Xenopus tropicalis: one gene and its partners. The protein of the gene in region 1 interacts with the protein of each later gene in a pairwise test. Links are inferred from orthologs where the notes say so. Each region holds a gene or a part of one and is shown on either strand. Other genes may lie near its edges.

Evidence for each region. The genes of interacting proteins can lie anywhere in the genome.
Region 2: the proteins of cul3 (region 1) and zmat4 interact in binary tests that used the Homo sapiens proteins (3 or more experiments, as listed by UniProt). The two-hybrid records come from large-scale screens. The link is inferred for Xenopus tropicalis from reciprocal best matches to the Homo sapiens genes CUL3 and ZMAT4.
Region 3: the proteins of cul3 (region 1) and shkbp1 interact in binary tests that used the Homo sapiens proteins (3 or more experiments, as listed by UniProt). The link is inferred for Xenopus tropicalis from reciprocal best matches to the Homo sapiens genes CUL3 and SHKBP1.

Annotation. Positions count from the first base shown.
Region 1 is NC_030681.2:123,778,958-123,784,883, reverse strand, and holds the start of cul3 (cullin-3), read right to left. Parts: upstream 3,679-5,926; 5' UTR 3,495-3,678; coding exon 3,429-3,494; intron 1-3,428. UniProt on the Homo sapiens protein: Core component of multiple cullin-RING-based BCR (BTB-CUL3-RBX1) E3 ubiquitin-protein ligase complexes which mediate the ubiquitination and subsequent proteasomal degradation of target proteins.
Region 2 is NC_030683.2:33,355,016-33,360,893, reverse strand, and holds the start of zmat4 (zinc finger matrin-type protein 4), read right to left. Parts: upstream 3,692-5,878; 5' UTR 3,680-3,691; coding exon 3,599-3,679; intron 1-3,598.
Region 3 is NC_030684.2:78,043,996-78,050,128, forward strand, and holds the start of shkbp1 (SH3KBP1-binding protein 1), read right to left. Parts: upstream 3,692-6,133; 5' UTR 3,278-3,691; coding exon 3,219-3,277; intron 3,139-3,218; exon of another isoform or gene 3,067-3,138; coding exon of another isoform or gene 3,062-3,066; intron 1,744-3,061; coding exon 1,690-1,743; intron 1,032-1,689; coding exon 986-1,031; intron 760-985; coding exon 686-759; intron 599-685; coding exon 540-598; intron 463-539; coding exon 382-462; intron 16-381; coding exon 1-15.

The DNA of each region.
Region 1 (5,926 bases):
CATAGCAGATAACAGATAAGTTCTGTAGAATACAATAGTGTTTTATCTGTTATCCGCTATGTGCCTGTGCCTTTTCTCCTTTGAATGGCTGCCCCCATGGCTACACAGCAGCTTACTTATATAAATTATAGTAGACTTTCTGAAGTAAACACACAACTTTTACCAGTGCAGGGCAGCAGCACATTATATTTTAGTTAATTTTATACACTTTCATTTTTTGGTGTTACTGTTCCTTTAATATACATACATAAGCACAACCAGCTTAAGGCCACAATCAGCTATTTTAAGGGATTCTGGCCCAACAGGTTGGTTAGATGGCTGAATAGCTGGATCATCATAACTGTATGTTAAACATATTTTCTCAAAAGTCATAAGCGCAGGGGTTCACTATTAGCACATAAATATCACTGTTTACTTATGAATGTGAAATATAAAATATATACAGATAGACTGCTCTTGGCTGTGCAAACAAACTTTTATGTGCCTCAAGTGTGGACATCAATAAAGCGAGTTATGAACTTTTCCTGCACATGTGAATAAAGCAATGATTAAAGCAGAAAATTGTCCTGGACTTACTCTTTAAAACCTATGCACAGTTCTAGTTTACCTAGTCCACAAAGATCTGATTCTTCTGTCTATATTTGGTTTCCAGATGTCATATACATGTAATTATTAAGTACCAATTCTAGAAAATACAAACTGGGCCAATCAAATGACATAGTCATGCAGCTTTAATCTAAAAAGTGCACAGTAAGGCAATCAGTTTCATTATATCAGTGGTGGAAGCAAAACAAAAGTATTATAGAATTTGTAAGTTATAAACAACTGATAAAATTATACATGATTATAAATTATGCTGTTTGTAACTTTCAGGCAACAGGAAGAATGCAATTTGTTGGCTTCACCAAGATATAACCTGCACAGAATCTGGAGTTTCCTGGATAAGGTTCTTCCATAATTTGGATCACCATACCTTTGGTCTGCTACAAAGTCATACCAAAAATAATTTAAATGTTAAATAAACATTTAAATAAACAGTAAATGAACGTTCAGGCAACAGGTAATTGGCTGGCTTCACCAAGATATAGATTTAGAATGGAAACTCTCTTGCTTGCTTAGCTCAGTGAGACTGCCTGCCAACTGTGTGTATGAATCACTAATTGTAGAACTGCCAGTACAATGTTCTTTTAAGCATGCATACAGGTGCACTGCCTAGTTTAGTGTGCACTGGCATTCCCATATCTTCATGAGCAGATCAGGATTAAATACCTTTCCTTCATCTAACAACCAATTTACAACCTTGCTGCTATAAGAGCAGCTCCAAATCTGAAATCAATATAAACTCTCAGGTCTCTGCACACCAAGTTAACACTGGAAGCATGTACTCAGAATGTTATGCCTTTATACCTGTGTCCCCAGGTGACATCTGAGGGACAGATTGGGCTGGGAAGGCCATTACAAAAATGCCCCAAGGAGTTCACTGCCTGACTATCCAGGTAAAGGGTCCACAGCGAGTGAGGCAATAGGTGCCAAATGCATGGACTGCAGTTTCCCACCATCAGCATTGTTTTGGCTTCTGATTAGAATGACTGTAAAGCGGCATTATACATAACTGTGCATATCTTTATGTGTAGGGATATTCACCAGACTGGATAATACTCCACTCTCTTTGGCGAAACCATAGATCAGTGACCAACAACAAATGGCAGGAAATCACTACTGCATTCCATACAAATCTTCTAACCTGAATGTCTATTTACTGACTGCTAATGTTATGGTGACAGCCAGTGTATCCACCAAGTGCAGCTACACCAAGCAAAGAACAGCCTGAAAATGTAGGCTTTTGCATTTCTCAGTCTGATTTACACTCCGTAGCTACACTGCCCATCAGTGCAGCTACAAGGAGCTGTGGAAACACTGTCAGAGAACAGTGGATGATCTGCTGGGATAATGCATATATATTTTACATGCTTAGAATATACATATTCATCCAAGCAATTTTTGGTTTTAAGAAGAACATAACAGGGAAATAAATGACTAACTTGTAATATGCTGTTACCTGGGATGTACAATACTTGTTTATATACTGCATAAGTCCTGAACTAAGTACACATTATTAAAGTGGAAATATGCCCAAAAAAAAAACAAACAGCTTTTTGTATAACTATATTTTGAGGCAACTTTCCAATATTAAATTTTTTTCTGCGTTTGTAAAGTATTTTCTATTTCAGTTTATATTCTTTCCTCTGCTGGACACCTGAAATAATTCAACAGAAAGTAGTTGATTAAAAGACCTGGAAAACAGACTTCTGCTACATTGTTCAAGAGTCAGAACTAGGCTACACAAAGGACTTAACAAATACTACTTTTAACCAAGATTAAAAAAAGCTTAGGGTGAAAACACAATGAGTTACTAAGTAGCAGCTACTTGTCATGGCTAGTAAATGCCAGAAAATACTCTGCCATAGACAATACTGAGAATTGCCTCTGCTAAACCACACGTAGAGACATGTATCGGTAAATAATCAGCATTGTCTATTGTTGTAGCCGTGACAAGTAACAGCTATTAGCTCCATGTGTCTTCACCCTTATAAACAACAGAAAACTATAAGGGTGAAGACACACAGACCTACTAGTAGCAGCCACTTGTCATGGCTACAGAAACAGACAATGCTGATCATTTACATTTACATGTATTAGCCATGACTAGTAGCTGCTACTAAGTTGCTCCATGTGTCTTCACCCTAATGGCAAGTTTCTAACAATGACTTCTTCATTTATTAATATGTTTTGGGGTGGAACTGCTTTTTATTAACTCAAGTCTATATATCTTTTGGCAAGCGGCCTCATGCATTTGTACAGGTCAGGGCAACTAATGCAGCCCACCTGCTGAAGCACAACTCCAGCTGGCATTGATATGCTCCATGTATTGGCTATAGGATGGCTACTTGGGTATCCCTGTCTAGTTTATTTAAGTGGGGGCTCATGATACACATCTATATGGTAAACTGCAATGGGGCTCGCTGTCAGATGATACTGGGAGTAGTAGTTTAGTATAAATAATGTGTGAATTTGGGCATCCCATACTCATGGCCATACAGATGTCAGGCAGCTAGATGAAATGATCCAGTCACAGCTAGCACAGCTGTACAGAGGCAATGGGCTTTCCATGCCATACATACAGCTCACAGAGCCTTTATTGGAAGCACATTGCAGCCAATGTTTACAATGCAGTGCTACCTGTGCACAAACACTAGCAGCTCTGCACTTGGCTCGGAGAGGATGCTGGGATATCCGGTAGAAGAGGAGCTACAGGATGATAGGTTGGATGTCACAGCTAGTGACACTTATAGCCCGCCTCCTGTATTTACACTGCCATCCATATGTGGCCCCCGGGGATTTGCCCACAAGTATCCTATGAGTCTCACCGGGAAGGCTCGGATCCTCATCTTGGTATCCTTCCGGCTGCCGGTGCTTTTCCCTAGGTTCGACATGTTGGCGGCTGTTCGCTCACACTCGGCCCCGGGGCCCCTCCTTGTCTCCCCCCGGCGGGTGTAGGTGTGAGGAGGCCCCGGGCCCGGCCTGTCAGCGACCCGGCGGGAGCTCCTTTACGGCAGTCTGGTCTCCCTTCAATGCGGCCCCCGGGGCTGCAGGGGGGTCTAAAACTATACGAACGCCCTAACACCCAGCGCTGACTAAACTCCTCCGCGATGGCGGACAAACATCCCTTTCCCAGCAAGGCCGGCGAGGGGAGGAGCCTGGGAATGGGGTGTGTGTCGCGAGAGTTCAAACAAGCCCCGCCCTTCCATACCCAGCCCCGCCCCTTCCATTCATTTCCTCCCACCCCCGGTCGGAGCGCTGTCACTAAGCCGCAGCCCTACCTCGTCTCAATAAACTTTATTACATCGCGCATACATTGCTGCGCAGGCTCCGGCGACAGCGACGTAATCCGTGGAACGTTGACAAGTGACGTCATGTGACGCTCTGAGCGCAGTTCGTACGTGGAGGCTGACGCGTTCCGTATATATACAAAACGCCTGTCGTCACTTATGCTTCTTTAGGTGGTAATGCGTATATAGACACTAATGTGTACCGTCTGGAACCCGGGAACCCTAGCCATACAACGAATTTGTCACACCTACCGTAGGTGTATGGATAGGGTTACTAAGTAGCTTCAAGTAAACATGCAATATTAAAGAAATAGATTGATTTTGACTTAATTAACGTTAGTTTGGCTAGACTCATGTTAAGATGCCCACTCTCCCAAGAAACAGAAATTCCAAAACATTGTATAAAAGCATTTCCAATATAATGTACTGTTGCCCTGCACTGGTACAACTGGTGTGTTTGCCCCAGAAACACTGCTATAGTTTATATAAGGAATGCAGCTGTGTAGCCATGGGGGCAGCCATTCAAAGCAGAAAAGGCACAGGTTACTTAGCAGATAACAGATAAACCCCCATTATATTCTACACAGCTTATCTGCTATGTAACCGGTGCGTTTTCTTTCTTTTATCAGCTTGAACGTCTGCCCCCGTGGTTACACAGCAGCTTATTTATATAAACTATAGTAGTGTTACTGTAGCAAACACCAGTTTTACAACTGCAGGGCAACAGTACATTATATTTATGTTAAAAAACTTTTAATTTTTTTGGTGTTACTGTTCCTTTAATATAATAATACTCATAATATAATAATTTGTCACTATAGTGCACCATCATGAAAATAATTAAGGCCATCCAGTTTTTGTGGGACCTTGTTATTAAGCTAAGGGGGGCAGCCTAAAGACCAGAGAGTAAAATCCGGGGTGAGTGTTTAATTGATCTGGAGCTTTAGCAGGGTGATTATTAACCCAATGCTTGTACATTTCTGTTATATAACCTTGTTATGGTGTTTGGAAGCCAAGCCTGAAGGCAAGTAAGAGTGAGATGTGGGTTTAATGTTTATTTGCCTCTTTTAATAGACTTGTAACTAAAACAGGGAAGCTGTTAGACCATGAAGAACTGCCTGCTGGTTGTGGAACTGTATACAATGGAAATGTCTCTTTAAAGGCTTGGGGGGCATAAGATATTTAGCACACCTTTCTCCTGTGTAAATGACTGAAGTCATTGAGGTGAGAGTTTAATCAACTCTTTTCTGGCATTTCCTGCGTTGCACTCCAAACAGTAAATTGATAACAAAAGATCCACTGACACACCATGGATTCTCTGAAAACAGCAAAGTATACCTAAAAAGCAATAAACAGGCTACAAATGCTGCTTTATGTTTTGGGTTTCTCCACCAACCATAGACCACCCCAGCCCATTAGCTGTAAAGATCTGTAAATACAAAGATGCCCCCAGTAGCTTCATGTAGGTGTGGTTTGCACCCCTTGGTCTCCTTGCACTTGTGTAAATGGCCATTTTTATATTTGTGTAGGTGTGTACTGCAGACATGTCAAATCACCTGTATTTTTCAGGAGTCATCCAGATTTATGCCCCCTTATCCAGTCACCCACAGTAACAGGTTCATCACCAACTGTAAATTGCACCCAAATTTTAACTCACCAGCAGTATTGAAATTTATAAAATCATCACCCAGTGTGCTCCACTGTTGTCCGAACTAGGGAACGTGGCGGAGGGTGGGGCCAGGGCAGAAGAGGGGCAAGGCCAAGATGTACCTGGAACACTTTGGGTATAGGTTTGGAATCTCTGGTCCTAGAGCAGTAAAAAGCAGTTCAAAGACACCAGAAAAGCTTACTTAAACATGAGAATTTATTGTAGAAGGTTTGTGAAACAGCGATGGTCACTGCCACTACAATGGTCACCATGACAATACTGGCTGGAAGAGCAATTATTTTTGTACCTTGGATTTCCTTTTTACATGTCCTGTCATAATGGAAATGCAGCATATGGTAAGGTTACAAGATCATATGAAAAATCATGA
Region 2 (5,878 bases), on another chromosome or scaffold:
ATACATTTAACCCATAACAAGTCAACTTCATTTAAAACAAGCTTACAGATTAGAAAAGGCCCTTTAAAGTATGGTTGAATAATTAATAATCAAATTGCTTATAGTTTCAAGCCAGAGAAGACCATGTCATAAATAGCATAGTGAATCATGGGCTACTGCTCTTCCCCATGTGTAAATAAAAAGCCAAAACAGCATTCTATCCAATCAGAAAACTGCTGTCTATTCAACAGCACAGGACATATAAGCAAAAATAACTGGTAAAGACATTAAATCATTCCCCTTGTAATGAGAGGGATTCACTGCATAAACTTGCAGAATGCATGTCATGTTTATTTGTATTATAGTTCCACAGTTTTATATTCCCAAACCCTTCAATTGCCAGAGATGTAACCATTATTATAAGCTATGAGCTGATTCTATCCAATGATAAAGGCATGTGGATAAAAGATTTGATACTGTGGTCACAAACATATCCAACATTCACACCCACTAATGCAAATAATGATAACATGCTATATCATCATACTGCAAACACCTGTATGTAAGAGACCTTTCAGCCTGTTAGCAAGTGTTCATGTGTACAATCCATGGAATGGTCAGCCCCTGCCTATGTTGTGTAACTTGTAGCCTGTATTTAAGGGGACTTGATTGATCAGGGAACACTAACATGTTATTCAGGATGGGCAGAGTTTGTGGCTGCTGTCTCAGTGCTAATTATACAAATAAAACATGCACCAAAATAAAAATGAAGCTTGTAAGAGTAATAAGTGTTCCAAGGCTGGGCAGAGCCACGTGTGTGTTCCAACTTTAATTAGTCAGCTGCGTGCATCTCTCTACATGGCATTTAGAGTCTGACAAATCCACTGGGTGCATTTCAAACCTGGCTGTTAAATGATACAGTTCACACAGAAAATGTTCCCCTGTGCGGACGACCAATTTTCAGCCAACCAGATCATTTTACATATTATTTCCAAACACAATAAGCACAAAGCAGTCACCTGTTTTAATATAAGCATTTGTTTCAGTTGCTCCTGCATAAATAGTCAGCATGGCCAAACCTGTTTAGCTGGGGATAAGGAGGCAGTGACAGCAAGCAGTGTGTCCCATTTTGCAAACACCCTTTCCTGTATCCCATAAAGGGAACTCAGAGATCCTAGGGCTGATTCACTAAAGGTTGATAAGTTTTATCGCATGCTTTTTTTAGTTAAAATTGACGCAGAAAAAAAAGCGCGATTCTCTAAAGTATTAACACATGCGTTAAATTGCATATCGCATGCGTTAAATTTTGCACTACCGTGCGCCGAAATAACACTAACACATGATTCACAAACACTTAGACGAGCTAAATATCGCATTTGTCTGTGCGAAAATTAACACCTACTTGAGGCAGGCGGTAATTATAGAAAAGTACAGTTAATGAGCTTTTGGCAATAAAATATGGACTTTGCAGTTGGGTTTATTCAAGTCTGTGTTGCCCCTAGAGTGATGCAGCCGCCAGTTTGCAGGGAAATGGGCATTTTCAGTACAGTAATTTTCCGAAAGTAATGGCATGTATGGCTAACATGGCGTGCGTTTTCTTGCACACGGCGATTATTTGTACGCGGTGCGTTGATTAGCACATGTTCCGTCAAATACCGCACGATAATAGTCTTCATGACTAAAATAACGCAAGCAGCATCGCGTGTAAATTAACACAAGTATGCTTTTAGTGAATCCTGCGCTAATTCGTGAAAAATTAGACGCAATAAAATTTTTAACGCACACTATAAATAAAGCACGTTTTATCGACCTTTAGTGAATCAACCCTCCTGTATCCTATAAAGTGAACCCTGATCCTGTATCCCATAAAGAGAACACTGACACCCTATGAGATCCTGTATCCCATAAAGGGAACTGATCCCGTATCCCATAAAGAGAACACTGACACCCTATGAGATCCTGTATCCCATAAAGAGAACACTGACACCCTATGAGATCCTGTATCCCATAAAGAGAACACTGACACCCTATGAGATCCTGTATCCCATAAAGAGAACACTGAGATCCTGTATCCCATAAAGAGAACACTGACACCCTATGAGATCCTGTATCCCATAAAGAGAACACTGACACCCTATGAGATCCTGTATCCCATAAAGGGAACTGATCCCGTATCCCATAAAGAGAACACTGACACCCTATGAGATCCTGTATCCCATAAAGAGAACACTGACACCTTATGAGATCCTGTATCCCATAAAGGGAACTGATCCCGTATCCCATAAAGAGAACACTGACACCCTATGAGATCCTGTATCCCATAAAGAGAACACTGACACCCTATGAGATCCTGTATCCCATAAAGAGAACACTGACACCTTATGAGATCCTGTATCCCATAAAGGGAACTGATCCCGTATCCCATAAAGAGAACACTGACACCCTATGAGATCCTGTATCCCATAAAGAGAACACTGACACCCTATGAGATCCTGTATCCCATAAAGAGAACACTGACACCCTATGAGATCCTGTATCCCATAAAGAGAACACTGAGATCCTGTATCCCATAAAGAGAACACTGACACCCTATGAGATCCTGTATCCCATAAAGAGAACACTGACACCCTATGAGATCCTGTATCCCATAAAGAGAACACTGACACCCTATGAGATCCCATAAAGGGAACCGATCCTGTATCCCATAAAGGGACCTGATCCTGTATCCCATAAAGGGAACACTGACACCCTATGAGATCCCATAAAGGGAACACTGACACCCTATGAGATCCCATAAAGGGAACCGATCCTGTATCCCATAAAGGGACCTGATCCTGTATCCCATAAAGGGAACACTGACACCCTATGAGATCCCATAAAGGGAACTCGGAGACGCCGCTGAGCGCAATAACAGACGCAGATACTGAGCCCCTTGCAGGAACTGTCCGGCACTTGTGGTGCTGAAAGGACCAACAGCCCAATGAGAGCAGCGAGTTGCCAAGGAGCGATCCCAAACACGCCGAGAGGGTTTTAACCTTGGGACGTTGTGCCCAGTGACCGACACAACTAAATCGCAGCTACTGCGTATCTCTTGGTGCTCCGTGCAGAGTGACTGCTACAGAAGTGCCGCGATCTATTTATTCATACTGTGGAGCTCGTCTCCAGACTCCAGGGTCATTTCTAGGATAACTAGAAGCATCACTAGCATCACTTCGATTCTCATTTGCCTCCCCCTAGGGAGAAATGTGTAGGACTGTATGGGGAGCTGCTCCATAGAGAGCTCCGGGATACTGCTGCTCCATAGAGAGCTATACGGGATGCTGCTGCTCCATAGAGAGCTACGGGATGCTGCTGCTCCATAGAGAGCTCCGGGATACTGCTGCTCCATAGAGAGCTATACGGGATGCTGCTGCTCCATAGAGAGCTACGGGATGCTGCTGCTCCATAGAGAGCTACGGGATGCTGCTGCTCCATAGAGAGCTATACGGGATGCTGCTGCTCCATAGAGAGCTATACGGGATGCTGCTGCTCCATAGAGAGCTATACGGGATGCTGCTGCCGCTGCCCCTGCTTGTGCTCTGTCCCAAACAATGGTTCCCCATACGGGCAGGGAACTTACCTCAAGGAGCTGTGTGCCTGCTGCCCCGATCCAGATCTGCCTCTCTTCTGCGATGTGTTTCCCGGCACAAGCCGAATACATCCAAGCCCCTTTAGTATCCTATGTGCCGGCTGCTGCCTGAGCCCTCCTTGCACTGTCACAGGGCTCCGAGCTGATGGGATTGATTCTCACAAGGTGAGCTGCCTGTACAGCATGTGTGTGTGTGTGTGTGTGAGTGTGTGTGTGTGTGAGTGTGTCTGTGTCTATAGTAGGAATGACACTACTCTGCTGTACCCTCTGCCATACACAAACACACAGGCTGTAGCTCTGAGGGCTCCACTACTGTAACTCTGAGCTACTGCATCTCACTCACATCCCTTTTGTAGGTTGGAACCTACAGCTGGGCCCCTAGCAATGTACAAGTCCTCTTCTACTTACTCACTGCTGTCCCCCCCTCATTTAGGTGGCAAATGGGGACATCCTGATTAAGATAAAATTACACTCAGATACACTCAGTGCCTTATTATTAGCAGCTTCCTACATAGCATGCACTACTTATATTATGAACAGCAATACTTTGACTATATATAAATATTTTTCTAGATTTTATCTAAATAAAAAATAAATACATTTGTGTTTTTTTCAGCTCTGTCACTGATGCACTGATGTGCAATATATGTAGCATCCTAAAGTAAATACCTACTGCAGATGGATCATTTAAGGTTATCAGATATTGTTGCTGGTTGTGGGACATGACCATTTCAGTTTTTTGGAAGATGTTCCATATGTTCCATTCTGGCATAAGCATTGATAACAGTTTTTTATTTTTAAAAAAAAATTATATTTCTATGATTTAAAGAATTGTCAAACAAATATGTAAATACAACAACATTAACGGTTTATTACTCCTAGTAATGGTGTTCACCCTTTGGACTTCTTTCTACATAAATATATATATATATATATATATATATATATATATATATATATATATATATATATATATATATATATATATACATCGCGAGAGAGAGTGTATGTGTGTATATGTATGTAACTACTTGCAAATGTACAGAGAAGGATTCAGGGCAGTGGTTGGGGGAGGCTGTAGGTCAGGAAGCACAGAGGCTGAGCCAGGATGCAGGATGCAGTGCCAGTTTCCACCAGCAGATGGTTTTGCATTGCTGATCCATTTGCCTCATTCAGTATAAGCTCTATGTAGGCAACATAATGGCAAAAAAACATTCAGCCCATGCTTTATTAACTTCAGGTGTCAGCAAAATTATTTTTAGGGGGTCTGAGCAGGACTAATTCCAGACACACACACACACACACTGGCCCCTAGTAATGTACCAGTTGTAGGTAGGAAAAGTGTAAGAAGCTCAATGTCACGTCATTGTATATTCACCTCTGGCAGCTCAGGGAGAAAAGCAACACTAGTAACTGAGTAATTGCAGTAGGGATAACTTTCTCTGACAACTGACTACACTTTATAGGGCTCATTTACGTCTGCAAGTGCAGCGAGCAAAGTGCAATTTCAATTGTAATTGCCATGTTTTCTTTCCATACTGCAATGTTTTCCCCAACAGAATTCCAGTGTCATTGTGATATGCCTAATGCAGTTTGATCCAATTTGCCTAAGTTAACGCAAACTGCTTGTACATTTTGTTGCAGTTCAGATGCAACTGAGTGGAAGATGCCTATGTCATTTCTGGTGTTCAGCATGCAAGTAGCATCTCCACCTGATTCTTTAGGTGAAAGTGGACCTATTGATGCTGGGTGTGAAGGGAACCCTGAAGCTACTGCCTGGTCAGGAGGTGGCGGTAGATACAGGGTCCCCTGCGTCAATAGGCACAGTAGCGCCCAATTCAGAACAGAAAGTATAAGGGACTGAGTGGCGGAGAGCACATTTTGATGCAAGTAACTTTAAGTGGATTCTGTCATGATTTTTATGGTTTACCTTTTATTTCTAAATTACACTGTTTACATAGCAAATAATTCACTCTAACATTTAAAATTTTATTCTTGAACCAACAATTATGGATTTGTTTTGTAAAGAGACCACCAACTCCATCTTACATTTCTGTAGCCATCATGTCAATAATGTTAAGCTATTGGTTCCCATAGGGACATTTTTTAAAATTTGCAGAAACTGTTTGAAGAAAGAAATATTTGGGCAGTGAGCACAAAGTTAAAAACTCAAAAGAGAGGTTATTACAATGTCAGTGTAAACAAAGGATAGAAAACGGGCTAAACATTCTATATGAGAAGATTTGCTAAAACCCTACTAGTTTTATTAGC
Region 3 (6,133 bases), on another chromosome or scaffold:
TTTTAGCAGGAAAAACTGAATAAAGGGAATAAAAGGTTTCAGTGAATAAGGTGTTTCTTATAAATATAAAAGGTCACTGGTAACAGTAAACATTTGTAAGATTTGCTAGTTTGGCAAAAGCCAACCAATTGCATTGCAATGAAGGGGAAAGGAAAAGTTGGAGCGAGGACTGCGCCAGTGAGTCAATGCAGTCCCTGATCCAACGAAAAATTAAGCCTGCCCAATTATTAGGGAGGCTTGCTGGAGGGCCCCATCCACAGGCAGATAAGCTGCAGAGTCAGTCTTAAGGACCCAAATTGGCAGCTAAAATCTGCCAGTGTATGGCCACCTTAAGGTAGTTCTGACAATCTGCCTTCAGTTAATCAATATAACATAACTTACTTGGTGCATGCAAGTATCCATTGAACAAGACACTGCCACAAGAGGAGCGTTCCAACTCCTCACACAGCTGCAAACGCCTGACTGAGAATGGGAAATATATAGTTAATAACGAGTACCACTAAATGGCAAAGTAAAGTGAAAGAGTAACCTAGAATTACCTAGTGGAGTAATGCCATAAAATTCTGCTTCATGCAGCAGGACAGAACTTTTCACACCTCTAGAAAGAATATGAATAAAAGACAAGTGAGGAAAAAGGGGATGTAATCCCACTAACACACTAGATAAAAGCCTGTAGAATTCCAACCTGTTATCAAGTTCTTTGGTGCGGAGAAAGTTTAATATTGGACCAAAGACTGTAGGGTCTCGATCTATGAAAATCTGAAATGGCATTTGTAACAGAGGAGATTAAAATTGACAACCATATTCAAAAAAAAAAATAAAAAAAGCTTTACTTCCAAACTTTGTATTCATTGTGCATGGTGTCCCTATAAAACACACTACTAGATAGAGTAACTGTTTGAAGCAAATATTACAATAGATCTAGTTATATAGATGAATTTTGTTAAAAGTGCAATGAGAAAGAAAATACATAAATAAAACTCACAGCCCCAGTTTCATCTTTCAAAGTAGGGATGCGACCACTCAGGAGGCTGGAGGAATAAAAAAAGACAATATTTTGCTTTTCATTTGTATTTTGTCAGTAATGCAGTAAATCTGCTTTCAAATTGTTACATTTCTTTGACATTCTACATGGTTGACTGTGATGTAAAGGATTTTGAACTTTCTAAAAGGATGTCCATTTTGTTCCTTCAGATATGTGTTGATTATGGCACAAGAAAAAGACAACTTTTTTGAGCTTTGACACTTATCCCAAACTTTAAGAATGTATGCCTCTTGGCTTTAGGCTCCACAGAGCCATGAGTCCCTATCTGTACTGCCTATATTATAACTAGACACTTGTCATTACTTAGCTGAATAACTGCTTTTATCTTTCCTTAAATGAGCCAACCCATTTCAAAGGATTCTATCCTAAAGCATCTGCTCCATTATTTAGATAACACCCTTACTAAGAATATCAACACTTCGTTTTCTATGGGTATATAGGTAAGTGCTAGCTTCAAATAGGGCCATGATGGAAATTCATAACCCAAAGCTAAGGTATTGAGTCAAATGCTTGACACCCTCTCCCCTTTAACAAGTTTTACATTAATTATTCTTTAACTGTGTGAAAGTTGAACTGTATTCCTGTACAATCAATAAATTGCTTAAAAACTATTTTTCTTCATCTTTCAACAATTTTATACTGACCTTGAAAAGAAAGATTCAGATGCCCACGTCAGGGTCCGTCTGGAGGTACTGAACCTACAATTAAAAAATGTATGATTGCCATAAGACCTGTGACACAGAATTAAACATTCAAAGTATGTGCAATTCCCATTTCTAAAAGTGTTATCATATGGCTGCCATTCATTAATTCCATTTAAAATAAAGAATATTTATTCTCAAGTTCACTTAGATTCATACTGTTGGCCAGTTTGTTACATACTTAAACCACACACACATACAACAAGCGCGCACTAAATTCAACCCCTCCACCCTCAATGTATATGCATAATTATATATACATAAACCTATACAGACCTACAGATACACTTAAATATATAATGACACCTACACCTGTAGCCTTGGATAGATCTTGTTCAGTTCCTCAAATTTAAAGGGGTGGCCTTTAGTACTTTTTTTTTTCTTCCCCCAACAGAAAAGATCAAAAGATCCCCTGCTATCTGTCTATGCCATTTAATGTATTTGTAAAGAGCATTCATGTCCCCTCCAGAAAAAAAAACCAATCCCAACTCAACAGGGGCACATTTATCAAAGTACGACAGGTACGAAATACAAAACATTTGTATTTGGTTGTACTGTGCATATTTTCTGCTACTTTTTCGTACTTTGTGTGACTTTTTCGTACATTTGCAACAAAATCGTATTTTCGCGCCGAGTACAAAATTTTCTGATTCATTCAAGCTTCGGTATCGTGACTTTCCTTGGCCCAGGTTCGAGCTTCAGAGTGTCATTCATTCCTATGGGAGGCTTCCAAAATCATGCACAGAAGGATCAAAGTCAGAAAGGTTTTCCCACCCATATTATCGTGACTATTCTGATTTTTTCGTAAGCATTTTCGTGATATTTGCGATCATCAGAAATTATTGTATCTGAATTTTTCCCATTTCGGGATTGAAACGCGTACTTTGATGAATGTCCCCCTCAGTGTCATCAATAGTTTAACTCTTCCATTCCTGTTTAGATACATGTCTCTGCACACTTTCAGGCTCATTAAAAGTGACCTCCATCCTCTTGTCTCTTGTCCCTTGTATTTAAATGTACCTTGTATTTATTTGTATTTCTTGTTAAACTTTGTATTTATCTATTATTTTAATAACCCCCTGTTGTATTAATCTATTCTAGTGCACAGCTTGGCTTAGATAAGTAGCACTTTATAAAAAGATTTACATCCATACAGCCACACTAAGGCAGACTTTCCTCACACCTCTAATGACACGTTCTCTCCCACACACGCCCCATCACTGCACCAGAAAGGGATACACAAATAGCAAGGAACATGCCACCTAAGAGCACCTAATTACACACCGGCAACCAGGCACTGATTCACAGTACCCACCCCATCCTATACAATGCGTGAAGCACACTACAACTGAGTATGCAAACAGGATGCCACTCAATAACACTCTCCCGTCCATAAGTTCTCCTCACAACATTGAACACAATCCGCTTATCATTTAGCGTTACAAACGCATGCGTACTAGCTAATAACTCACCTCTTTCCCCCCACATTGAGGTGTATCACATCCCCACTGCAGCCCTCAAGCCCTTCCATGCCCGGCTATCCCTTTCTCTCCTCACTAGGCAGCCATGCTTCCGGCAACACCGGACACTTCGCCCGAGTGACGTTCCCTCAGCTCATTGGCTCACAAGTTCAGCAGATTAATCCTGCCCCTTCCTTTTTTTCATTCGCCTTTGTGTCTGCTCCGTTCCTTATCGTTTACTTTGTATAGCTATTGATTTTTATTCGCGTCCATCGTCTGTCTGTGCTAAGCACACAAGGTAAAGTGCAGTCCAGACGTCGAATTAATACCGAAAAAAAGCTTCACAAAATGAGGCGTCGGAAAGAATTTTATAGCGCGCTGTCCTTTTCCAGAAGTATATAACAATTAGCAAAAGAAAACGGTTTTTAAGCTTTTCCACCTGCACCCCTAGCACTGAACGGCCCGGAGATGGATTAAAGGGTTAAAGGAGGGGCTTGGGTTCATTAGACCCTCACAGCATGCTCGTATTTTAAATCACGGCGCACCTTTTGCTAAGCCCCTCCCAGCTGGGGGTCTTTGCTTCGTGACTACCCTGCCAACACTGGGTATGTCGGTGGTGTTAAACTTTCAACCCTTTGTGTCCCCAGTATTGTTCTCTCTACACATACACTAATGTTGAGACCAGTGCACAAGCACTGCACACATGGTTTTAAAAAGTGTAAACTTTTGTTTTTAACGCAGAGCCAAGTAGTAGTTAGAGGGAACATAGGGCAGGCCCTCTAGTCTTCAGTTACCTTTGCTTCTGCTTTCTCCGCATTCAGTAATTAATCAGGACCCAGAGCTATCTGTAGAATAAATATAATAAACAATATAATGTTTTACTTCATTTCACAAATATTCTCTTGCATACCTAATAACTGAAATATATAATATTAGCTATATCATCGAATTTACTAGTGAATGCCTAGTCATATCCTAAACCAGTGCTGTCCAACTGGCGGCCCGCGACCCCCCTCTGTGTGGCCCCCCACCTGTCTGGCTGCTTTGATGGCTTACCTTTGTGTAAGCATTAAATGGTATCAGTACTGGGATTAACTGGCCCCCTGCATGGTTCTCACCTCAGAGTCAGGCTGTAATCCCCCTGTATTGTTTAAAAATGTAATCCCCTGTATTTTTCACACCTTTTAACTCTTTTACTGCCAAGCACGTATGGCATACGTGCTGGCAGTAAAAGGGCTTAAACGCCAACGACGTGTCTCATACGTCGTTGGCGTTTAAGCGCTGCCCTCTGCAGCGGCGGCATGTACACACACTTACAGCACACATTTTAGCATTTTTTTATTTTATTTTTTTTTTTTTTTTTCATTTTTCACACTTTTATACACTTATTTACACTCATATACACACTTACACACTATCACACAACTTTTACACATGTACACACATGTATACACAAACACTTTGGTTTTTTTTTGTTTTGCTTTTTTTTTTTTTTTTTTTTCATTTTACCACTTTGTTTTTATTTTCTTTTACCTAAAAACTGTTTATTTTGACAGCGTAACTATTGGATCAGATATTCTGGCCACTAATTACACTGTCATGTAACTTATTTTGTTGTTTCACTGATTTGCACAATTTTTGTGGTTTTATCACATTTTATCCCTATATAAGTGTTCCTGATCTGTTTTTAGCGTAGCTTTGCCAGGTGTAACTTTGGTGTACAAAAATAACTTTACCTATTTTGAATTCATCAGAATGTGTACTTTCCAAAAATATATGGTTTTCTGGGGGTCACTGTATAGTTAGGGGGGGGTTACTGCACATAATACACTGACAGGGGGCTCTGTGTGCAAAAGCTGAGCTGGCAGGCGAGAAATCCTTATGCGCTATTTTCATTTAGGGTTCAGTACATACCGCAGACTTTGGTATATCTATGCATATTGGGCATCAATCTGTTCAGTAGACCTCTGGTGTTCCTATTTGGGGTGACTTGCCTTTGTACGCAAGAAATTGTGTGAGATAAATGCGGCAAATTGCAACATTTTTAGGCGATTTTCTGAAATCTCATAAAAACCGATAACTTTAGGAAAGCTTTGCGGCTTGGTACTTTGGTGTAGAAAGGACTCTTTACCCTTGTTGGATTTGTCAGAATGTGTACTTTCCAAAAATATATGGTTTTGTGGGGGTCTCTGTATAGTTAGGGGAAGTTTTGGCACATAATACACTGACAGGGGGCTCTGTGTGCAAAAGCTGAGCTGGCAGGTGAGAAATCCTTATGCGCTATTTTCATTTAGGGTTCGGTACATACTGCAGACTTTGGTATATCTATGCATATTGGGCATCAAACTGTTCAGTAGGCCTCTGGTGTTCCTATTTGGGGTGACTTGCCTTTGTACGCAAGAAATTGTGTGAGATAAATGCGACAAATTGCAACATTTTTAGGCAATTTTCTGAAATGTCATAAAAACCAATAACTTTAGGAAAGCTCTGCAGATTGGTACTTTGGTGTAGAAAGGACTCTTTACCCTTGTTGGATTTGTCAGAATGTGTACTTTCCAAAAATATATGGTTTTGTGGGGGATCTGTATAGTTAGGGGAAGTTTTGGCACATAATACACTGACAGGGGGCTCTGTGTGCAAAAGCTGAGCTGGCAGGCGAGAAATCCTTATGCGCTATTTTCATTTAGGGTTCAGTACATACCGCAGACTTTGGTATATCTATGCATATTGGGCATCAAACTGTTCAGTAGGCCTCTGGTGTTCCTATTGGGGGTGATTTGCCTTTGTACGCAAGAAATTGTGTGAGATAAATGTGACAAATTGCAACATTTTTAGGCAATTTTCTGAAATGTCATAAAAACCAATAACTTTAGGAAAGCTCTGCAGATTGGTACTTTGGTGTAGAAAGGACTCTTTACCCTTGTTGG